Linked DNA regions of Elephas maximus indicus. The protein of the gene in region 3 purifies or fractionates together with the protein of the main gene of each other region. This does not show direct contact. Links are inferred from orthologs where the notes say so. Each region holds a gene or a part of one and is shown on either strand. Other genes may lie near its edges.

Region 1 (7,912 bases), on a different chromosome or scaffold from region 3:
CTGAGGAAGAGGAAGGGGCCCAAGGCTACAAGGGAAGGCAGGATCCAAAGACTGACCCCTCAGTCCAGGGGAGGAGGCCCAGGGAGACCACAGTTTGAACTCGGTGCCACCCCTGACTGGGGACTCTGGTAAGCTGTGTGCCCTCCCTGGGCCTCAGCCAGCCAGCCGTCCCACCTGTAAAAAGGTGATGATGGGAGAATCTGTCTCTAAGGTTTCTGTGCAGATTACAGAGAGACAGGGGCTGAGGGTGGGAAAGCGGCCACAGGAAACACCTCCAGGAGGAGGTGACGTGAAATTGGTCTTGGAAGGAGCTATGTGGGCAGGAAGGAGCCCTGGTGGCGCAGTGGTTAAAGTGCTTGGCTACTAACCAAAAGATCGGTGGTTTGAACCCACTAGCCACTCTGTGGGAGAAAGATGTGGCAGTCTCCTTCCGTAAAGATGACAGCCTTGGAAGTCCTATGGGGCAGTTCTACTCTGACATACAGGGTCGCTATGAGTTGCAATAAGCTCCATAGCAACAGGGTTATTTTGGTTTATGTGGGCAGGGTCACTTCCGGTGCTAAGGAACCAAACATCCCAAAGCCAAAGAGTTCAGTGGGGTCAAAGCATAAAGTGGGGTGTGGGGTAAGAGATGGCACTGGAGAATAGAGTAGGGCCCTCCAGGGGTGTCTCATTCTCCTCCCCCAGAACGTCCTCCCTCCCTCCTCCAGAGGTGTCCTCACTCTTCCCACCCCAGGGGCATCTTACTTCCCCCAAGGGGTGTCTTTGCTCTCCTCCCTCAGGGGTATCTTCTCTCTTCCCCCACCAGAAGTGTCTTTGTTCTTCCCCAACTAGAGATGTCTTTGTTCTTCCCCCACCAGGGGTATCTTCGCTCTCCCCTCACCAGGGGTGTCTTCACTCTCCCTCCACCAGGGGTGTCTTCTCCCCCCACCAGGGGTGTCTTTGCTCTCCCTCAACCAGGGGTGTCTTCGCTCTCCCCCTACCAGGGGTGTATTTGCTCTCCCCCAACCAGGAGTGTCTTCACTTTCCCCCCACCAGGGGTGTCTTCGCTCTACCCCAGCCAGGGGTGTCTTCACTCTCCCTCAACCAAGGGTGTATTCATTCTCCTCCCACCAGGGGTGTCCTCACTCTCCCCTCCAAGGGTGTCTCATACTCCTCCCCACTGCACCCAGGAGTGTTGCATCCTAGCAGCTCAGGCTGGGGACCTTTGTCCCCATCCCTAGTCTTTGATCCACACCCTCCTCTCCGCAGGCCCCGGGTGCCAGGCCCTGTGGGTGGCCTGGGACCCACCTTCAGTGACAGTGATCGTGGGGAATGAGGCCCACCTGCAGTGCCCCAACAATGGCAGTAACCCCAATGTCACATGGTGGCTCATCCTCTCTGGCAACTACACCAGCACATGGCCACCCGTGTTCCTGGGCTCAGGCGAGGGCCCGGACGGCAGGCTGACCATCCCACAGGTGAACAAGAGCCACGGGGGCATATACCAGTGCCGGGTGCAACAAGACAACAAAACCTGGCAATCCTGTGGCACCTACCTCCGTGTGCGCGGTGAGTGTCCCGGGTCCTGGTGCCACGGCTGGCCACTGCCCCAAGGGGGATGCTCGGTTTCTGTCTGTGAAGTAGGGACAGAGCCAGTTCTTCACCTCTGGCTGGGGCGGGCTCAGACACAGCAGGAGTTTCTCATCTGCATTGTGGGCCTTGCTGGGAGGGGCGGGCAGGAGGCACCGGGGCTCCAAGCAGCACCCCTCCTTGCAGAGCCGCTCCCTAGACCCTTCCTGGACATGGGGGAGGGCACCAAGAACCGCATCATCACAGCCGAGGGAATCATCCTGCTCTTCTGCGCCGTGGTGCCTGGGACGCTGCTGCTGTTCAGGGTGAGCTACCCCGGGACCCTAGGCCAGCTGGATGAGGGCAGGGTGGCACAGCTCAGTGCCCAACCTGCCCTCCCTGATTCTGAGGGTCCCCTCTAAAACCTGGGAGAATACCTGGGAGAATGTGAGCACCCACATCACAGGGCCTATGGGGTTAAAGGAGCTAATACAATGAGAGGACTCAGAGTGGGGCCAGGTCCAGAGGTGCTTCCTTGCTTACTCTCCCCCAGTCAGGGGTGTCTTTGGAGGGTGTCCTCACTCTCCCCCCAGGGCTGTCCTCACTCTACCCCCCAGAGCTATCCTCACTCCCCCCCTCAGTTGTCTCACTCTCCTCGAAAGTAGCCCCCAGATGCCAAGGCTGGGAAGATGGGGGCTGGGTTTCTCCTACAGTCTCTGACCTGCCTGGTCTCAACTCATACCAGCAGAGCACTGATTGCTATTATTATTATATTAGGATTCTTACTCATGGAGAATAACAACGCCAAATAACAGAGCCAAAATGAGACTCACTAGCTTTGGCTCCAGAGAGACATGCCACTCAACAGATGTGACCTTGGACATACCCCTTGCCCTTCCTGAGCCTCAGTTTCCCCTCCTGTAAAGGGAAGTGGTCAGAGCTCGCTCCCCAGGTGACTGTAGGCAGCACTCAGGGGAATCACGCTGGTAAAGCACCCCTTCCCATCCAGGAGGGTCTTAGAATCTATCAGCCTCCCTTTGCTCACTGAGGCCCCCAAACTGCACCCCCCCCCAGAAACGATGGCAGAATGAGAAGTTCAGGGTGGACATCCATGATGACTATGAGGATGAAAATCTGTACGAGGTGAGTGGAGGGTGGGGACAGGGTAAGAGCAGGTGCACTGGGGGCTGGACATGGGGCTCCTCCCTGGGGCTGGCTGCGGTAGAGACCCCAGGCACTGATGTCCACTGCTGCACGTCCACCCCAGGGCCTGAACATCGATGATTGCTCCATGTACGAGGACATCTCCCGGGGCCTCCAGGGCACCTACCAGGACGTGGGCAGCCTCCACGTCGGAGACGTCCAGCTGGAGAAGCCGTGACCCTGGCCAGCTGCCCTGCCTGCTGTATTCCCAACTCTAGGGTCTTTCCTCACTCCCCCTGGAACATTCTTCTCTCTCTCTCTTCACCTTCTTCCCTGAAAGTCATCTTCCCCTTTGGGAGTATCCTAGAGGAGTCTTCTCCCTCCTAGGTCTCCTGGAACTCTGAAACACGTAGACCCTGCCCAGGGGGCAGCTCTTCCTTCTACACTGTCTTCACTCCCTCTACACACCCTGCCTCCTTTCCCAGCTCCCTGCTCCCTCCCTGGCGGGTAATGAGCCCTTAATCGCTGCCTCAAGGGGAGCTGATAGTAGCAGCCTTATTAGTACCCCCCTCTCCACTCCCCACCCCTGCTCTGTCATGGCCACTTAGTGATAATAAATCCTTCCCAACTGCAGCATTTGGCAGGAGTCATGGATCTCATGGGGACTGAGCCATCCCCACCCCAGGGGACCAGAAGTCCAGGCCCCCAGCCCCCTCCTCCCTCAGACCTAGAGGTGCAGGCTCCCAGCCCCCTTCTCTCTCAGATTCAGAAGACCAGTCCCCAGCTCCCTCCTGGATTCTGGGTCTCAGCTCTCCACTGTCTATCCCCCACAACTGGGATCAGGTAGCCAGGCTTAGTTACTCCCGTGAAAGAAACAGGAAGTGTCTTGGGGTGCTTTCCACCCCAATGAAAAGGAGTGGTTTGGCCCCACCCAGGGCCCCACCCCAGGCCCTGTCCCTGAGCAGGAGGGGGCTGTGTTGTGCATATATGTTGGGGATGTGGGGGGCGGGGGTAAGGCTACCATATTTATGCACATTTAAGCCCTGCAAACTGGAGGACTATCTTGGGGGATAGTATTGAATTCCCTGACTTTGGCCACACCTTTTCTCTATGGGTGGACTTGTGCAAGGGTGATTTGTAGCATCTGTATTCCTAACTTGAGGCTGGTGAAGACACTCAGGGGGCAGTGACAGAAAGGTACAGTGATACAAAGTTCCTGAGATAGGTACTAAGTTCTTGAGATGCAGAGAGAGAGAGTGATGGAGACACTGAGCAAGTGAAGGAAAAGACAGTAAAGAGACACTGGAGTTTCAAGGGAGACAAAGCCACGAGGGCAGATAGAGAGGGAGAAAGAGTGACCAAGAGAGAAAGGGAGAGAGCAGGAAGAAGGGCCTAGAGGTACTGAGCCAGCAAGACTGGGGAAATGATGAGAACTGACACGAAGAGGCAGAAAGACACAGACAGACACACAGACAGTTGCAGAGATGGGAAGAGAAGGATTCTGAGGGAGAAAATGACAGAGGAGGAGGAGACACAGGGAGAAGCAGAGGCTAGGGAAAGACCCTAACCAAGAAAGGGGGTGAGAGAGGGACTAGAGACAGAGAAGAAAAGGCAACAGCGAGAGAGACACACAGAGGCAAAGCAAGAGAGGGAGACCAAGCGACACCGGGCGGAGAAGCCGAACCACGGTGAGGAAACCAGGCGAGGGTGTTGCTCCGATTGCGGTGGCGGACAGTGACACTCACCCCCCGCCCGGCCCTCCCCGCCAGGGCTGTGCGGGCGGACACTCGGACAGAGAGATATGAGCAGCGTGGAGCCCGCGCCCTGCGGACCGACAGACGGACAAAGCCGGGCAGAGCTCGGGCGGGGCCAGGGTGGGGCCGGGACTTGCGGAGACCCAAGCGGCGAGAAGGGGAAGGAAGCGGAGGTGCCGGGAGGGCGCGGGGCGCGGGCAGGAAGCGGGGAGGGGCGGCGGGGCGGGGGCCTCCGGAAAAACGCCCCAACTTCCTGCCCCGCCGGAGCCAGGAAGCGGGAGCCGGGACGCAGGGCCGGGGATCGCCGAGCCCGACCCCGGGCGCCCCGCCGGTCACCTCCCCGCGCGGACACCAGGTACACCGTCCCCGGCCCCGCCCGCCCCCCTCCCCTCCGCTGCTGGGGGAAGTAGGGACGGAGGTGGAGGGGCTGGGGCGCTGCAGGCCGTGGAGCGGCCTCTCCAGGGCTCCACTGCGCCGGCGGCTGCCCCTCCCTGGGCCTCAGTCTTCCCATCTGTCAAAGGGGCAACGAGAGGGAAACTAATACAAGCCGAGCGCTCAGTGGATGGGGATAAAGGGTTCGCGGCCGGGGTCAATGCCTCTCGATTGCTCAGCGGGGGACGGATAATCACCCTGTTGCACGGGTGGGGAAACTGAGGCCCAGGGAGCCGAACCGACTCGCTCGAGGGCGCACACATCCCGAAACTGTTGAGTTGATATTTGAACTCTCAGGTGCTTTCCGCTAAGCGCCTTGCTCCAACCCCGCGTGCTCTGGGCCGTCTAAAAAGAAAAACAATAACAAGGCTATAGGCCGCTGATGAAACTGATAGTTGCCAATGGAGTGTGTTTGAAAGCGTTTAGAAAGAAAAAAAAAAATTTTAAAGCGTTTGGAGGTCATTAATTATGTCCTAGGAGATGGGTGTAGAGGAGAGAGCTGAAGACCTTCCCCCATTGTACAGATGGGATGACTGAGACTTCTTCCAGGATACACTGCATGTCCGAAACAAAACTGGGCTCGAACCCAGGATTTTTGCTTTCCAGCCCCAAAGGAAAGTGCTGGGGGATGTACACGCGTTGAGAATTCAGCTCGTCACAAGTAGGGAGACAGGATAGGGAGGAAGCCCCAGTCCGAGATCCAGGGACCCAGGGCCCAGGCGACTCGGATACCTCGCCTTTGGCTCTGCTGTGCGGGCTGGAACCATCCCCACCTCCGGGCGGGGGTTGAGGGGCGGGGCCCGGGAGAGTGACGCGGGCAGTCGAGATACGGAAACCCCAGCCCTCCAAGGCTGGCCAGAGCGGCCCTGTCTGGCCAGCGTGGCGCGGTGGAGAGCTAGAGCGGGCGGCGGGAGGAGTGGAGTCGCTGAGGCATGAGCCAGGCAGGAGCCGGGCTAGAGCGCCTGCCGGGAGGAGTAGAGCTGAGCGCAAAGGCGGACTCTGAGGTGGCTAGAGCGGCTCGGCGGTGAGGGTGGGGGGAGTCCGGAGCGGGCGTGCGGAGGCTTCGGTTCCAGCGGCAGCTGCGGCTTCTCGGACCTGGAGCAGGTGAGGAACCCCGCCCCGGGGGGGTCAGAGTCTGACTCCCAACGTACGCCCCGGCATGGCCCGGCCCCGTACACCGCTGAGTCCTTTGTAGGATTTGGGGCTTGTATAGATAGAACCGCCACGTCCTCTGCAAGATTTGGGGTTCCTGTAGACCTGCCACGTTCCAGATAGATTGCAAGGTTTTGCATACCCTCCAGGTTCCTATTAGGCCCCCGTAGAGACCCGGTTTCTTATAGACGTGAGGCCCACTTAGATCAAGAGCGTCCTCTAGAATCCAGAGCGCCATAGACCTGAGTCTCTGGACCCACCACACGCACGTATAGAATTCTGCGGCCCTTTTAAGTCTTCAGAGGCCCCATAGACTGGCTACTTCCCCTATTGAATCCTGACCCCGTATGAACCCCGAATTCCTGTAGATCCACCATGTGTCAAATAGAATCGGGGGCCTTATGCATATTTAAGGGCCTGTTATAGACTCACCTTGATCCTTCTGTATTTTAGGATCTTGAAGGCACCCAGGGGTCCTTGGAGACCCTGGGTCATCCGCTCAATATCCTGTAGACACTGGACCCTGCAGAGAACCCAGGCCCCTATGTGGTCCCCGATCTGTGCCTACTTTGCTCTAAGACCCCCGCACCTATGGACCTTTTAAACCTGCCCTGCCCCTACCCTACCTCCTCTGCTGTGCTCCATGCCTTGTCCATTGCCTACAGACCAGTGCTTCTCAACCTCCCCACTGTTGACGATTTGGACCGGATAGTTTTTTGTTGAGGGGGACAGGACTATCTTGTATATTTAAAGATGTTTAGCATAATCCCTGGCATCTACCTGCTAAATGTCATTAGCACACCTCCTTTTGAGACAACCAAAAATGTCACCAAACCAAACAAAAATAACCCAAACCATTGCCGTCGAGTCGATTCTGACTCATAACAACCGTATAGGACAGAGTAGAACTGCCCCATAGGGTTTCAAGGAGCAGCTGGTGGATTGGAACTGCCAACCTTTTGGTTAGGTTGGCCACCTTCCCAAGGCCTTAAGCTTTGGACCAAGGGAAACTGCATGGAGACATATTTCAGCTGAGAATGGAAACTGCAGCTTTTAACCAATTATTTTAGACACTTTTGTTTTGAGGAGTTCCACAGATTGTTTCTATACAAATGTAAATCTAAAAAAAAAATTGTTCAACTATTTTATTAGATTATATTAAAGTATTTGTTGTGTGTCGTAAAAAACAAAACAGAAAACCCTGCAGACTTAATATAAATGAAAAACTAAAACGCCCCCCCCCAAAAAAAAAATCGTAGTGGCTCTTAACCACTGTGCCACCAGGGCTCCAGATCCCCTTGGGGGCAAAATCACCTCCAGTTGAGAACCACTAATTTAGACTCAGAACCAAAAATCAGTTGCCATCGAGTCAGTCCCTACTCACAGCGACCCCGTGTGTTGCAGAGTAGAACTGCTTCATAGGGTTTTCAACGCTGTGACCTTTCAGAAGCAGATTGCCAGGCCTTTCTTCTGTACACTTCTGGGTGGGTTCGAATCACCAGCCTTTCAGTTAACTGCTCACTTAACTGTTTGTGCCACCCAGGGATTCCCTGATGTAGACCTATTGAATATCAGGTAGAATCTGGGGTCTTATACATTCTATGATCTCCCATAGGCTCACTGTGAGCCCTTTGTATTTTAGGTTCCGTAAGGCTCCCAGAGGTCCTTGGAGACCCTGGACCATCTGTTCACTATCCTGTAGACCCTTGGCCCTGCAGAGAACCTAGATGTCCATGTGGTCCCTGATCCATGCCCACTTTGGTGTAGGACCCACACCCTTATGAATCTAAACCCTCGCCAGATACACAACGCCCCCTCTGCTGTTCTCCAGCCCTGCCAGTTGCCTATAGATCTACCTACCACCTGACAGCTTCAAACTA
Region 2 (7,813 bases), on a different chromosome or scaffold from region 3:
TTATCTGTATTTTTTATTACAAGCCATCCTAGTGGATGTGAAGTGCTATTTCACTGTGTGTGTTTTTTAAATAATTTATTGAGGTGGAATTCAGATAACAAAGTTAACCATTTTAAAGCGAACAGTTCAGTGCCATTTAGTGTATCACAAAGATGAACGACATAGAAAAAAAAAAAAAAAAAAAACCCAAACCAGACCAGTTGCCATTGAGTTGATTCTGATTCGTGGTGACCCTGTTGTGTTGCAGGGTAGAACTGCTCTCTGTAGGGCTTTTGTGGCTTTAACCTTTTGGAAGCAGATCAGCAAGCCTGTCTTCCGTGGTGCCTCTGGGTGGGTTCGGACTGCCAACCTTTTGGTTAGTTGAGCACTTAACCGTTTGCACCACCCAGGATTCTTAAATCCAGACCCATTGCCATCAAGTCGATCCCAACTCGTAATGACCCCATGTGTTACAGAGTAAACCTGCTTCATAGGGTTTTCTTGGCTGTAAACCCATTGCCGTCAAGTCAATTTCGACTCAGAGCGACCCTGTAGGACAGGGTAGAACTGCCCCACAGGGTTCCCAAGGCTGTAATCTTTACAGAAGCAGGCTGCCACGTCTTTCTTCTGCAGAGTGGCTGGTGGATTCAAACCACTGACCTTTCAGTTAGTAGCTGAGTACTTAAGCGCTGCGCAGCCGGGGTTCCTTTTCTTGGCCATAATCTTTCTGAATGCAGCACCGGGCCTTTCTTCTGTGGCAGTGCTGGGTGGGTCTGAACGGCCAACCTTTAGGTTAGTAATGAAGCACAAACAGTTTGCACCACCCAGGGGCCTCACCGCTATCTAATTCCAGAACGTTTTCACACCCCAAAAAGAAACCCGGTAATCATTAACAGTCACTCACTATACTCTCCTTATAGCCCCTGGAAACCGCCAGTCTTCTTTCTGTCTGTATGGAGTTATCTATTCTGGATGCCTCATAAAAATGGAATCATACAAGGTTCATCCATGTCATAGCATATACTGGTGCTTCCTTCCTTTTTATGACTGAATAATATTCCATTGTGTATATACTACATTGTTTATTTATTCATCTATTGATGGATAGTTGAGCTGTTTCCACTGTTTGGCTGTGTGCATAGTGCTGTTATCAACATGTATGTACACGTGTTTGAACACATCTTTCTACTTTATTTGGGTATAAATAGGAGCGGAAGTGCTGGATCCTATGGTAACTTTATGCTTAGAGTTGTGAGGAACTGCCACAGTGTTTTCCAAATGGGGTACACCGTTTTTCACTCCCACCAGCAGTGGATGAGGGTCCCAGTTTCTCCACATCCACAGCACTTACCATTGTCTCTCTTTAATTTTAGCCATCCTAGACGGTGTGTGAAGTGGTATCTCATTATGCTTTTGATTTGCATTTCCCTAATGACTAATGGCATTGAACATCTTTTCATGTGCTTATTGGGCATTTGTATGTCTTCTTTGAAAACTATCTGTGAAATTTTTTTGCCCATTTTTTAAATTGGGTTATTTGTCTTTTCATTGTTCATTCCTAAGAGTTCTTTATATATTCTAAATACAGATTTCTTGTCAGATACATTATTTACAAACATTTTCTCCCATTCTGTGGGTTGTCTTTTTATTTTCTTGATGGTGTCCTTTGAAGCACCAACATTTTTAATTTTGTTGAAGTCCTGTTTATCTTTTTTTTTTCCCCTTTTGTTGCATGTGCTTTTGGTGTCATGTCTAGGAAACCATTACCTAACTCAAGGCCACAAAGATTTACTCCTGTGTCTTCTAAGAGTTTTATAGTTTTAGCTGTTATGTTTGGTCTGTGAACCATTTTGAGTATTTATGTTGTGAGGGGCCAACCTTATTCTTCTGCATCTGGCAGTTGTCCCATCACCAGTTATTGAAAAAAACTTTTTTTTCCATTGAATTGTCTTAACATCTATGTCAAAAAGTAATTAACCATAAATTTCTGGATTCCAATTTTATCCCATTGATCTATATACTGTTCTTAAGCCAGTACCCCACTGTAGTTTTATAGTAGATTTTAAAACAGTAAAGTGTGAGCCCTCCAGCTTTGTTGTTTGTTTTTGTTTTCCCCAAGATGGTTTGACTATTATGGGTCACCTGCATTTCCATATGAATTTTAGGATCAGCTTTTCAAAAAAAAAAAAAAAAAAGATTTTGATAGGGATTGCACTGAGTCTGTAGATCAGTTTGGGGAATATTACCATCTTAATAATATTAAGCCTGCCAATCCATAAACATGGATGTTTTCATTTATTTAGGTCTTTACTTTTTTTTTGGCAATATTTTGTAGTTTTCACTGTACAAGTCTGGTACTTCCTTTGTTAACTTATTTCCTAGCTATTTTATTCTAATACTATTGTAAATGGAATTGCTTTCTTTTTTTTTCCTAAATTTTATTTAGTTTGTTGTTGTTGCTGAGAATATATACAGCAAAACGTGCACCAATTCAACAGTTTCTACGTGTACAATTTAATGGCATTGATTATATTCTTTGAGTTGTGCAACCATTCTCTCCCTCTTTTTCCGAGTTGTTTCTCCTCATTAGCATGAACTTACTACCCCCTGTGGTTCTTATCTTTCCAGTTGCTGTTGTCAATTTGATCCCATATAGATAGCTCTTATAAGAGCATAATGCTCAGGCAGACCTTTTTACAAGTTAAGCTAAACTTATTGTTCTAAGTTGACTTCAGGGGACATTTTTTGTTTTAAGGTTTAAAGATCATCTTAGTACAATAGTTTCAGGGGTTTTATCCACCCTCCATGGCTGCAGAAAGTCTCGAGTCCATGAAAAATTGAATTTCTGTTCTGTATTTTCTCCCTTTTGATCAGGATTCTTCTGTGGAATCTTAGATCAAAATATTCAGTAATGGTAACCGGGCACCGTGCAGTTCTCCTGGTCTCGAGGCAAAGGAAGCAGCAGATCATGGTGGCAGTTAGCCACACATTCCGTATCCTCCTGTTCCTGACTTTTCCTTCTTCCTCCAGGTGAATAGAGATCAATTGTTGAGCCTTGGTTGGCCGCTTGGAAGCTTTTAAGACCTCAGGCACTACGCAATGAACTAGGAGGTAGAATAGAAGCACTAAACATGCACTAAGCACTAAATATTAGCCCAGTTAACTGGGATGTCCCATGAAACCAGGACCGTAAACCTCCAAACCAAGGAACCAAATCCGTGAAATGTTGGTTGTACAAGCCTCAGTAGCTACTGTTTTTTTTTTTCCTTCTTCTTCTTTTGGTCATTGTTGTAAATATATATATATCACACAACGTTTTTACAGGTGTACAACTTCTTGACAGCAATTACAACGATCAGCTGTGCAGCTCTACCCTTAACCAGTGGGATTTTTCTATCACAGTTAACCCCCCATTTCCCCTTCCCTTCCATCCCTGGTAACCACTAATAAACTTTCGTCTCTATACATTTGCCTTTTTTTGTCTTTTTATATAAGTGAGGTCATACAATATTTGTCCTTTTCTGATTGGCTTATTTCACTCAGTATAATGTCTTCAAACTCAATCCATACAGTAGCATGTATCAACACTTCATTTCTCCTACTGGCTGAGTAGTATTCCATTGTACATACATACCACATATTGTTTATGCGTTCATTTGTTAATGGGCATTTAGGTAGTTTCCACCTTTTGGCTGTTGTGAATAGTGCTGCAGTGAACACTGACATACAAGTCTCTTTTTGAGTCTCTGTTTTCAAGTCTTTTGGGTATATACCTAGGAGTAGAATCGCTGGGTCATATGGTAGTTCTATTTTTAGTTTTTGGGAGAATTGCCACACTGTTTTCTGTAACAGCTATACCATGTTACATTCCCACCAGCAGCAGGTAAGGGTTCCAGTTTCCCCACATCCTCGCCAACATTTGTTATTTTCTTTTTTTTTTGTTTAGCCATCCTAAGCCATTGCCACTGAGTCGATTTCGACACATAGCGACCCTATTAGGACAGAAGTAGAACTGCCCCATAGGGTTTCCAGGGTGCGCCTGGTGGATTTGAACTGCCAGCCTTTTGGTTAGCAGGCATAGCTCTTAACCACTATGCCACCAGGGTTTCCTTAGCCGTTCTAGTGGGGGTGAAATGGTATCTCATTGTAGTTTTGATTTGCATCTTTCAGGTGGGTAATAACACTGAACATCTTTCCATGTGTTGGTGGCCAATTGAGTGTCCTCTTTGGTGAAACGTCCAAGTCCTTTGCCCATTTTATAATTGGATTATTTGTCTTTTTGTTGTTAAGTTGTTCAAGTTTTATACATATTTTGCTTAATAGATTCTTGTTGGATATATGGTTTCTGAAGATATTCTCCTAGTCAGTAGTTTGTCTTTTCATTTTTTGGTTAAGTATTTTGATGAGTAGAAGTTTTTAATTTTCATGAAGTCTCATTTATTTATTTTGTCTTTTTCTGTTTGTGCTTTTGTTATTAGATTAGATAATCCATTTTTAAAAGCTAGGCTTGACAGTGTTGCCCTTTTTTCTTGTTCTAAGAGTTTTATGGTTTTAGTTTGCACGTTTAAGTCCTTAATCCATTTTTATTTTTTTGTGTGTGTGATGTGAGACATGGATCCTTTTTCATTTTTCTGCACGTGAAAATCCAGTTGTCCCAGCCCTTTCCCCCATCAAATGGAATTGCTTTCTTAATTTCATTCAGATTGTTAATTGCTAACATATAGAAAAACAGTTGACTTTCGAATATTGAGTTTGCATCCTGCAGCATCGCTAAACTCATTTATTGGTTCTAACAGTTCTTTTTGTGAACACTTTAGGTTTTTCCTTATATACGAGATCATGCCACGTGAAATAAATTTAACTTCTTCCTTTCCAATTCAGATGTCTTTTACTTTTTGTTTCTTGCTAATTGCCATTGCCAGAACCTAGGGTACAATACTGAATAAAAGTGGCAAGAGCTGCCCCTTCCCCCTCTGTTAGGGAGAAAACATTCAGTCTTTCACCTGTACATATGATGTTAGCTGTGGGCTTTTTGCAGATGACCTTTATCAGATTGAAGAAGTTTCCTTCTAGTCCCAGTTTTTGAGTGTTTTTATTATGGATTTTGGATTTGTCAGATTTGTTTGTGTGTGTGTGTGTCTATTGAGATGATCATGTTTTTGTTCTTTATTCTATAAATACAGCATATTACGTTGATTGATTTTCGTATGTTAAATCAGCCTGGTATTTCTGGGATAAATCCTACTTGGTTTGGGTGTGTAATCCTTTTTACATGGTACTGGATTCTGTTTGCTAGCATTTTGATGAGTTTTTTTTTTTTTTTCCTTTTATTGTGCTTCAGGTGAAAGTTTACAGAGCAAATTAATTTCTCATTAAACAGTTAGTACACAGATTGTTTTGTGATATTGGTCACCATCCCCATGATGTGTTAACAGTCTCGCCTTCTGCATCCCGGTTCCCGGTTTCCATTTGTCCAGTTTTCCTGTGCCTTCTTGTGTTTGCTTTTGGGCTAGTGTGCCCTTTAGTCTTGTGTATATGATTGAGCTACGAAGCCCATTCTTCATGTGTGTTAACATTGGCCCTATAAAAACCTAAACCAAACCCACTGCCTGCTGTCGTGTCGATTCCAACTCATAGAGACCTATAGGACAGAGTAGAGCTGTACCATAGAGTTTCCAAGGAGTGCCTAGTAGATTTGAACTGCCGACCTTTTGGTTAGCAGCCAGAACTCTTACCCACTACACCACCAGGGCTTGGCTCTGTAGGCCTGTCTGATCTTTGGCTGAAGGCTGGACCTCAGGTTTGATGAGTATTTCTCCCAACAAGCCTGTGAGATTAGGGTCCTCGTGAAGAAGCTGAGGCGTAGGTTAGGCAGCTTGCCTGTGAACACATGGTGCGAAGACTGGAACAGGGAAGCAAGACTTTTGGATTTAGTCTAATCTTCTGTCAGCTGCTTTACTTTGTACCTGTTATATCATGGATAAGCCACAGTTGATTTCATTGATTTGGGATGTTTCCTTTTGGATTGAAAACTCCCAGAGAGTGATCTCTCTAATGTGCTTATTATACCAAACCAAAAAAACCCCAAACCTGTTGCCGTCAAGTCGATTCCAAATCATGGGAACCCTACAGGACAGAGTAGAACTGCCCCATAGGGTTTCCATGGAGTGACTGGTGGGTTTGAACTGCCGACGTTTTAGTTAGCAGCTGTCATGGATTGAATTGTGTCCCCCCAAAATATGTGTCAACTTGGTTAGGCCATGATTCCTATTATTGTGTGCCTGTCCTGCATTTTGTGATTGTAATTTTCTGTTAAAGAGGATTAGGGTGAGATTGTAACACCCTTACTAAGGTCACATCCCTGATCCAGTGAAAGGGAGCTTCCCTGAAGTGTGGCCTGCACTACCTTGTATCTTACAAGAGATGAAAGGAAAGCAAGCAGAGAGGGGGGTTACCTCATGCCACCAAGAAAGCAGTGCTGGGAGCAGAGGGAGTCCTTTGGACCCAGGGTTTCTGTGCGGAGAAGCTCCTGGTCCAGGGGAAGATTGATGACAAGGACCTTCCTCCAGAGCCGACAGAAATGGAAAACCTTCCCATGGAGCCGATGCCCTGAATTTGGACTTGTAACCTACTAGACTGGGAGAAAGTAAATTTTTCTTTGTTAAAGCCATCCATTCGTGGTATTTCTGTTACACCAGCACTAGATGACTAAGACAGCAGCCGAGCTCATAACCACTGTGCCAGCAGAGCTCCATACTCATCATAGAGTCACACAGTTAAGCCTTAATATTGAATGCATTTTGGATAAGTATGAAATTTATACCCTTGGTGATTACTGATTTAATTTTAAACGTGTTTGTGTCTTGTTTCTTTTTTTTGTGGACCGGGAGCATTACGGGGCATGTGTATGTAATTCTACTTTCTTTTTAGTGCTCAGCATTTGCTGAGCCCAAATAAATACTGGGCAGAAGCTTCCGGATTGGAAGGGTGCGTCTCTGCAATGCCAATCTAAACACATCTAAGGACAGTGTATTCTCCTGGCTAGATATCCATCTGGCCTGAAATCCCAGTGTTCTCTGTATTTTGCCTGCATTGTGTTTTTTTGGGTTTGTATACCCCTTCACATCCTCTCTCCTGCCCTCCTACAGAGCAGCTGGCTCGTCAGAGACAGTAACTGCTGAGAACTTACTGACACAATCTCCGCATTAAATCTTTTTGCTCTCTCCACCTTTTCTGACACGTGCACAGGCAAGTGATTACACATTTCACATTGAGGTACAAGCATCTAGAGACCTACAGAAGCTCTTTGGGGCAGCTCAGAAGAATGGACGGGGAGCAGAGCCGCAGCCATTTGCCTGCATATAACGTTGGCAGGCTTATGTGAGTGCTTTTGAACTCTGTGTCTACATGTAACATAATTGCTTTATCGATATCAGCATTGTATCTTTTCCTTGCCACCTGTGAACTCCTTAGCTTCTACTCTAGTATAAAATGGAAAGGAGGGGGATGTTCATTTTATCGTTAGTCAAAACCCAGCATCCTGAGAATATGTCTGGTGCAAAACAAAACCACGTTTTAAATTCCAAAGGCAAATGGAAGTGCTTTTTGAATTAACCTCTTTTTGCTGATGGTGCTGCCTCTCCATTAATGGGGGTATTTGGGACTTGCCTGTGCCCTAATTGATTAAATAATCATTTGTATGTACGAACAGATAAAATGCAAAAGAGTATATGTACATCTTATGATTGTCCCTCATTTTAAATCCAAAGGCCAGTGCTGCATTTTGTGGTCTAGCAGGAGCACTGAGACCTGGCCAATAAGCAGTGTCTTGAGA
Region 3 (7,864 bases):
TCTGGGTCTTTTGGAAATACAGTACCCAGCAGATTCCATCTTAACCCATATACTCTATACTCCCTTAAAAACTCTGAATTCTTTTTTTTCAGGTGTGAAACAAATCTATCTGAAAATTAAAATGTTACTAGTATCACTGCAATGTAAACTGACAGTGATGGCTAGAGTAGATTCGTTTCTCTGGCAAATAATTTAAATTGTTACTCTTGTTTTAAAAATAAACATAATGGCACTTTCATTCATTGAGTAATGCACACAGTGGGCATTTCAATGTTAAATGATGTTAGTGATTTTTTTTTTAATGGAAAATGTACTCCCTAACTCATTTTTCTCTACGTGGCAAAAGTCACATAACATAAAATTCACCATTTTAACCATTTTTAAAGTGTACAATTCAGTGGTATTTAGTATATTTATAATGTCGTGCAACCATCATCTCTATCTAGATCCAGAACACTTTCACACCTCAAAAGGAAAACCTGTACCTATTAAGTAAGGACCCCTGGTGGTGCAGTGGTTAAACATTCAGCTGCTAACTGAGAGGCCGTCAATTCGAACCCACCAGCTGATCTGTGGGAGAACGATGTGGCAGTCTGCTTCCATAAACACTACAGCCTTGGAAAGTGTACGGGGTAGTTCTACTCTGTTCTATAGGGTCACTAAGTCAGAATCAACTCAAGGACGGCTATAAACCTGCTGCTGTTGAGTCGATTCTGACTCATAGTGACCCTACAGGACGGAGTAGAATTGCCCCATAGGGTTTCCAAGGAGCGCCTGGTGGATTCAAACTGCTGACCTTCTGGTTAGCAGCTGTAGCTCTTTTTTTTTTTTTTTTTTTTTTTTTTGTGCTTTAAGTGAAAGTTTACAAATCAAGTCAGTCTCTCACACAAAAACTTATATACACCTTGCTACATACTCCCAATTGCTCTCCTCCTAATGAGACAGCCCGCTCCCTCCCTCTACTCTCTCTTTTTGTGTCCTTTCGTCAGCTTCTAACCTCCTCTACCCTCTCATCTCCCCTTCAGGCAGGAGATGCCAACATAGTCTCAAGTGTCCACCTGATCCAAGAAGCTCACTCCTCACCAGCATCCCTCTCCAACCCATTGCACAGTCCAATCCATGTCTGAAGAGTTGGCTTTGGGAATGATTCCTGCCCTGGGCCAACAGAAGGTCTGGGGGCCATGACCACTGGGGTCCTTCTAGTCTCAGTCAGACCATTAAGTCTGGTCTTTTTATGAGAATTTGGGGTCTGCATCCCACTGCTCTCATGCTCCCTCAGGGGTTCTCTGTTGTGTTCCCTGTCAGGGCAGTCATCAGTTGTAGCCAGGCACCATCTAGCTCTTCTGGTCTCAGGCTGATGTAGCGTCTGGTTTACGTGACCTTTTCTGTCTCTTGGGCTCATAATTACCTTGTGTTCTTGGTGTTCTTCGTTCTCCTTTGATCCAGGTGGGTTGAGACCGATTGATGCATCTTAGATGGCCGCTTGTTAGCGTTTAAGACCCCAGACGCCTCTCTCCAAGGTGGGATGCAGAATGTTTTCTTAATAGATTTTATTATGCCAATTGACTTAGATGTCCCCTGAAACCATGGTCCCCAAACCCCCACCCCTGCTACGCTGGCCTTCAAAGCATTCAGTTTATTCCGGAAACTTCTTTGCTTTTGGTTTAGTCCAGTTGTGCTGACCTCCCTTGTATTGTGTGTTGCCTTTCCCGTCACCTAAAGTAGTTCTTATCTACTATCTAATTAGTGAATACCCCCTCCCGCCCTCCCTCCCTCCCCCTTCTCGTAACCATCGAAGAATATTTTCTTCTCTGTTTAAACTATTTCTTGAGTTCTTATAATAGTGGTCTTATACAGTATTTGTCCTTTTGCAACTAATTTCACTCAGCATAATGCCTTCCAGGTTCCTTCGTGTTATGAAATGTTTCACAAATTCATCACTGTTCTTTATCGATGCGTAGTATTCCATTGTGTGAATATACCATAATTTATTTATCCAGTCATCCATTGATGGGCACCTTGGTTGCTTCCATTTTTTGCTATTGTAAATAGTGCTGCAATGAACATGGGTGTGCATATATCCGTTTGTGTAAAAGCTCTTATTTCTCTAGGATATATTCCAAGGAGTGAGATTGTTGGATCATATAGTAGTTCTATTTCTAGATTTTTAAGGAAGCACCAAATCGATTTCCAAAGTGGTTGTACCATTTTACATTCACACCAGCAGGCAGCCATAGCTCTTAACCACCACACCACCAGGGTTTCCAAGGAAGGCAATGGGTGTACCTCTTAAGCAGTCACTTCCCATCTCCCCTCCTCCCCTCTCCACCCCCTGGCAACCACTAGCCCCCCTTCATTCTCTGTGGATTTTCCTATTCTGGATGTTTCATGTAAGTGGGATCATTCAATATGTGGCCCGTTGTGCCTGGTTTCTTTCACTTAGCATAAGTCTTCAAGGTTCATCTATATTGTAGCATGTGTCAGTACTTCATCCCTTTTTATAGCCAAATAATATTCCATCATACGTCCCTGGGTGACGAAACAGTTAAACAATTAACTACTTGCGAGACCAAAGGTTGGCGGCTGGAACCCACCCAGAGGTGCCTTGGAAGACAGACTTGACAATCTGCTTTTTGAAAGGTCACAACCTTGAAAACTCAATAGAGTGGTGTTCTCCTCTGCATACATGGGGTCACTAGGAGTCAGAGTTGAATTGATGGCAACTAACAACAACAACAACATGTATATTACCACATTTTGTTTATTAGTTCATGAGAATTTGATCGTTTCCAGCTTTTGGTAATAGTGCTGCTACATACATTCATGTACAAGTTTTTGTTTGAATGCCTGCTTTCAATCCTTTGGGGTATACCTATAGGTAGAATTGCTAGATCATATGGTAATCTTGTGTTTAACTTTTTAAGGTACCAATAAACCCCTAGTTCATTTTTATTTTCACAATTACAAGGAGTCTTGATCACTGGACAGTTAGAGGCTGTTGGACAGCTGCAGCTGAGCCTCAGGCTGGGCTCAAAAAGGTCTTTTTTCCAGAACCACTGCTTAGTGCAACCCGGCTCCATTAGAGCCAGGCTTGTTCCAAGGCAAGGCTACAGGTAGGGCTTTGAACAGCTTTCTCTGCTGCTCTGCATGTTGGAACATGAACTGGCTGGGCAGGAATACCCTCCTGCCTTCTAGGCATCCTTGGTTCTCCATTATATAGCACATACTTTTGGAAGGAAAAAAAAAAGATGCCAGCTACCTAACATAGACTTCCCTCCTCCTGTCTTTGCAGCAGAGCTCAGATTAGCACCTGGAGTCCCCATACGATCCATGCTTGGGACAGATGCTATACCCTGCACTGGGCAGAAATTAATCTTTCATGGACTTGCTGAGACTAGAAAGTGATCCTTCACTCAGGGTACAGTTTTACCATTCATGTCGCCTGACAGCACTACCCAGTATTCCGACCCTATCAACCCACAGATACAGGAGTGAGCCCATCCTACTTTGTATATTGTAGATTGTCCACCCCTGGGCTTGGCTGGGCAAAGGAGACAACCCTACTACAGGCATTGTTCACTGCAAACTTTCTGAGTCATGAGGCTGTTCAGTCATTAATCCAACCCGTAACAGTCACTGATTAGCAGTGATTTTTAAATTTGACTGCTTAGGAGCTTCTCCAAGTCCTGACCCCTTGCCCCAATTCCCTGACACACAGGAAGTTTCCACACTACAGGAGCCCACACCAAGGAGCATTAGGTTGCACTGCCCCCAAACAGGCAGATTAAACCGGCTTTTTCCACTTGAAACTGAACACTAAGAATGAAAACGTCGGTTGGGTCCTTGCTACCCGAGTCTCCCTGCCAACCCCGTTGTCACTTGTCAGGCTTGTCTTCCGGGCAGCCCTTTCAGGTGTCCTGCTCTGAATCTGCTGGTAGGGCAGAAAAGTCCCTTGGCTGGTCATATCCTCTGTAATCCCGCGGGAAACCTAAAATGTGCCTGCTCTCGTCCTCGGTGAGTTTGCTTTTCGCTTCCTTGTAGGGAAGAGCCTGCATCACAGTGTCCGGTTTGGGGGATTTTCACCATGACCTCACCCTCTGCCGCTACCATCCCGATTGTAGCGCTGCACAGCATTACGCAGCTCGGGCAGGGATCCACGTTAGGGAGCTGTTAACAGACCCTCCTAGCACATCTCAGATTAATATCAACTCCAGTTCTTTCTCCCCAAAGGGGGATACTTGCAGGGGTCTGAGAATGCCACCAAGAGCTGGAAGGAAGGACGGACGATCTTGACTTAGCATCAAGGGTGCCACCGTAAGAAAATGCACCAAAAACCTTTCAGACTGGCGCCCGTTGTTTGAATCACTTTTGACCCAATGGCTTCGAAATAAGGCGAGGGAACGCTGACAGCAGGCGGCGGCCATGAAACTCGGGAGAAAGGGCGGCCTTTCTCGGGAGAGAGGGAGCCCAAAGGGCAGCGTCTGGGACTCGGCAGCCGGCTCCACGGAGCAGGCCTTAATTAAAAAGAAACAGAAAGTCGCGCTCCGCAGGCGTCCGCCGCGCCCACTGCGTCCCGCCAGGCCCGAGACCACGTGACCGCGGCTCCCGGCCTCCTGGCGCGGGCCCGGCGGCGGCCGCGGACACACCAGCCAGCGAGCGACCGCGTGATTCGCCGGCCCGGGCCCGCCACGAGACTGGGGCTGCGGAGGCCGTGCGCGCGCGCCCCCGGGAGGCGGCAGGCGCGCGCACGCTGCCGGGGCCACCGCCCCTCCCGGGCCCGCCTCCTTCCCTCCCTCCCCGGCTCTCCCGGCCCGCCCTGGCCGGCTCGCCCTGCGAGTCAGTTCGCTCGTTCCCTCCCTCCCCGGGCGCGCTCGGGCCGCCGCAGCGCTCCCCGCCCTTGAGCCGCGGAGCCCGAGCCGCCCGCCGCCCGCGGAGGAGGTGGAGGGAGCCGGAGGGGCCCGCCGAGGCGGCGGCGGCGGCAAGATGGCGGACTTCCTGCCGTCGCGGTCCGTGCTGTCCGTGTGCTTCCCCGGCTGCGTGCTGACGAGCGGCGAGGCCGAGCAGCAGCGCAAGTCCAAGGAGATCGACAAATGCCTGTCCCGGGAGAAGACCTACGTGAAGCGGCTGGTGAAGATCCTGCTGCTGGGCGCGGGCGAGAGCGGCAAGTCCACCTTCCTGAAGCAGATGCGGATCATCCACGGGCAGGACTTCGACCAGCGCGCGCGCGAGGAGTTCCGCCCCACCATCTACAGCAACGTGATCAAAGGTGCTGGGCTCGGCCGGGGGCGAAGGAAGGGCCGGCTCGGCAGGGGCCGGGGGCCCGAGGCCGGGCACCGCCCTCGCGCACTCCGTGCCTCGCGCACGAGCTGGGCGGGCGGCAAGGGGGCGCGCCCCGGGCCCTGGCCCTGCCAGTCCCCGGGCGCCCTCTCCGTCGGCTCAGGGAATGCTCGGTGGGCGCCCAGCTTTCTCCTTGCTGCCCCCTTGGGGGTCACGGCCAGCCCCCACCCCCACCCCATTTCCAGCTCTGGCTCCTCCGAGAGGGAAGTTAGGAGAGCCGGGTGCCTCGGGGTGCGGGTCACCTGGCCTGTGTTCCTCCTTCCAGACGAGGCTGGAAAACCCGAGAGCCGACCCCAGACCCTGCCCCTTTCTCCCCTGCCCCAGAGCTGTCGGCCGAACCTCGCTGCCCCGGGTGGGTGACCCGAGTTGCATGGTTTCCTTGACCGCCTCCTGAGCAAGGGAGTTCTGGAACCGTCGGCAATGAGGAAACTTTTGCCAGAGACTTGTCAAGGGCGAAGGGTGACAGCTTTTGGGACTCTTTTGGGAAAGGATGTGAAACTTGAGGGTGTCGTTTTCACTTTGCTGGCACCAGGAAAGAGGAGACCCATACAGTAACTCTGAAAAATTAGCATCAGTGGTTTTTCACCTCATTGTCACGGTCAGGCAGGATGTTTGCCTGTAGTCTGTGTGCAATATGTTCTGCTCTCCTTTTTGCTAAATAAGGGGTAGGGGATATGGGGGTGTACTGCTTCAGTGCAATTGTGTAATAATATGAAGAATTTTTGGTCTAAAGGTGATGTGAGTCCCGCACAGGTTGAGTCAGTGAGTTAGCATGGGATGGGGTTGGATCATAGACTCCGCTTCTGTTTGACAGTATTTTTTTTTTAATTAATTAAAATGGTAAACGTTGTTCTTAAGTGAGAAGTACACAGGATTTTTATTTCTGAACTTTCAAAGAATTAGAGACGATGGTTTTTATTTTGTGATTGGAATGATAATTAGCATTCCTTTCTGTTAGTTTCCAATATTTTTAGCTTAAAATACTTCAGATGCATCAGGATTCTCTATTTTGTCTGGGTAGCAATTATCTGGTAGTTTGCTACCGATTTCATATCTTGTCAAGCAGTGTTTTTTTCCGTGGGATTTTTGTTCAGGAAGTGCTTAAGAAAGTCTTTCATGTCACTTTTTTTTTTTTTTCCTTTCTCTCCCAGGGTTTGGTAGAGGAAAACTGCTCCAGAGAGGGAGGCAGTGTGGGTTAGGAGCCAGAGAAAAAGCTCAGCCTGGGGTTTACAGACCACAGTGAGCCCTTAGCCCTGGTACCCCTCCAGTTAAGCTGTGAAAAGCAGTTGTATTTACTCTGCCTTAATGGTCAGCAGGAAACCTAATTAAGGTCTCTTTCAAGGCCACTGCCTCTGCCTTGCCAGCCCTTAATTGAAGGTACCTTTGTATCTTGCTGCAGCCGAATTTAAGGAATTATGTTAATGAATAGATTCAACATTTTAACTGATTATGGGCCAGGTAAACAACTGGTTCTTAATGTACACTGCGTCGGAAATGAGACCCGTTTTGAGTATTGATAATGAGATGAGGTCATTAGACATTAGTTTTTTTGTAGGTGTTGGCTTGTTGCAAAAATTGACAGCGGAATAGTTTTTTCAGTTATCCAAATGACCTAAAGGTGTGCGATTGTTAAGACCCTAACAGTTTAGTAATAGAAATACTGGATTTGAACTAACCTCTGAGTTGAAATGCCTGGTTTTGTATCTTTTTGCTGTTGGTCTTCCTACCTTTTAGGGAAATCTAAGGCCATCCTGTAACTTAGATTGATTCGAAGCTTGGTCTAGGAGAAGTTTTTGAGTTTTTAAGGTGTTCCTAGAAGACTCAGGGTTGGGGTTAGGCAGGGTGCCTAGGGGACAAGCAATGCAGAATGGTAACGCCTAGTTCTTGGCATTTGGTAGATGAATGCCTTTTGGACGGACTCCTTTCCTTCAGAGCCTGGACATCAGGCTGTGCAGCATAGTTTCTTTTTCCTTCAGTGGTTTTGGCTGTCTTGTGACCACTTTTTACCCCGGAAGTTATTTTATAAATTAGTACATTTTAAAATCCTTCAGAAGGAGCAAGTGTGTTATCAGTATTTGCTCTCCAAGGTTCTCATTTTAGGAGTGTGAGCAAGAGTTTTTAAAATCTGAGAAGTTAAGGGTGGATGTTTAATGTTGGTCTTCATTTTTGGAGGAGGTGGGCCTGGAGTAGTTAAGAGGTCTAAGAAAGAAATTCTGGTGTTTTCTAAGGAGTAAAACATATAAGAATGTTTAATGACTCCTCCCCATACTTTTTTTTTTTTTTAAACAAAGGCATGAGGGTGCTGGTAGATGCTCGAGAGAAGCTTCACATTCCTTGGGGAGATAATACAAACCAATTCAATGGAGAGAAGATGATGGCATTTGACACACGGTCACCCATGGCGGCCCAGGGAATGGTGGAAACCAGGGTGTTCCTACAGTATCTTCCTGCTATAAGAGCCTTATGGGCAGATAGTGGCATACAGCATGCCTATGACCGGCGTCGAGAATTTCAACTGGTAAGAGAT

What was found.
Region 1: the proteins of GNA13 (region 3) and ARHGEF1 purify together in Homo sapiens (affinity purification with western blotting; 5 studies listed by BioGRID and IntAct, with this or other methods). This does not show direct contact. The link is inferred for Elephas maximus indicus from reciprocal best matches to the Homo sapiens genes GNA13 and ARHGEF1.
Region 2: the proteins of GNA13 (region 3) and ARHGEF11 purify together in Homo sapiens (affinity purification with western blotting; 3 studies listed by BioGRID). This does not show direct contact. The link is inferred for Elephas maximus indicus from reciprocal best matches to the Homo sapiens genes GNA13 and ARHGEF11.

What each region holds. Positions count from the first base shown.
Region 1 is NC_064829.1:109,035,090-109,043,001, reverse strand, and holds the start of ARHGEF1 (rho guanine nucleotide exchange factor 1), read left to right. Parts: upstream 1-4,580; 5' UTR 4,581-4,803; intron 4,804-7,912. Other genes in the region: CD79A (B-cell antigen receptor complex-associated protein alpha chain), read left to right, coding at 1,252-1,551, 1,759-1,877, 2,626-2,694, 2,819-2,932. UniProt on the Homo sapiens protein: Seems to play a role in the regulation of RhoA GTPase by guanine nucleotide-binding alpha-12 (GNA12) and alpha-13 (GNA13) subunits. Acts as a GTPase-activating protein (GAP) for GNA12 and GNA13, and as guanine nucleotide exchange factor (GEF) for RhoA GTPase.
Region 2 is NC_064821.1:194,781,394-194,789,206, reverse strand, and holds the start of ARHGEF11 (rho guanine nucleotide exchange factor 11), read left to right. Parts: upstream 1-4,481; 5' UTR 4,482-7,303; coding exon 7,304-7,359; intron 7,360-7,813. UniProt on the Homo sapiens protein: May play a role in the regulation of RhoA GTPase by guanine nucleotide-binding alpha-12 (GNA12) and alpha-13 (GNA13). Acts as guanine nucleotide exchange factor (GEF) for RhoA GTPase and may act as GTPase-activating protein (GAP) for GNA12 and GNA13.
Region 3 is NC_064837.1:58,617,026-58,624,889, forward strand, and holds the start of GNA13 (guanine nucleotide-binding protein subunit alpha-13), read left to right. Parts: upstream 1-4,756; 5' UTR 4,757-4,983; coding exon 4,984-5,266; intron 5,267-7,628; coding exon 7,629-7,855; intron 7,856-7,864. UniProt on the Homo sapiens protein: Guanine nucleotide-binding proteins (G proteins) are involved as modulators or transducers in various transmembrane signaling systems.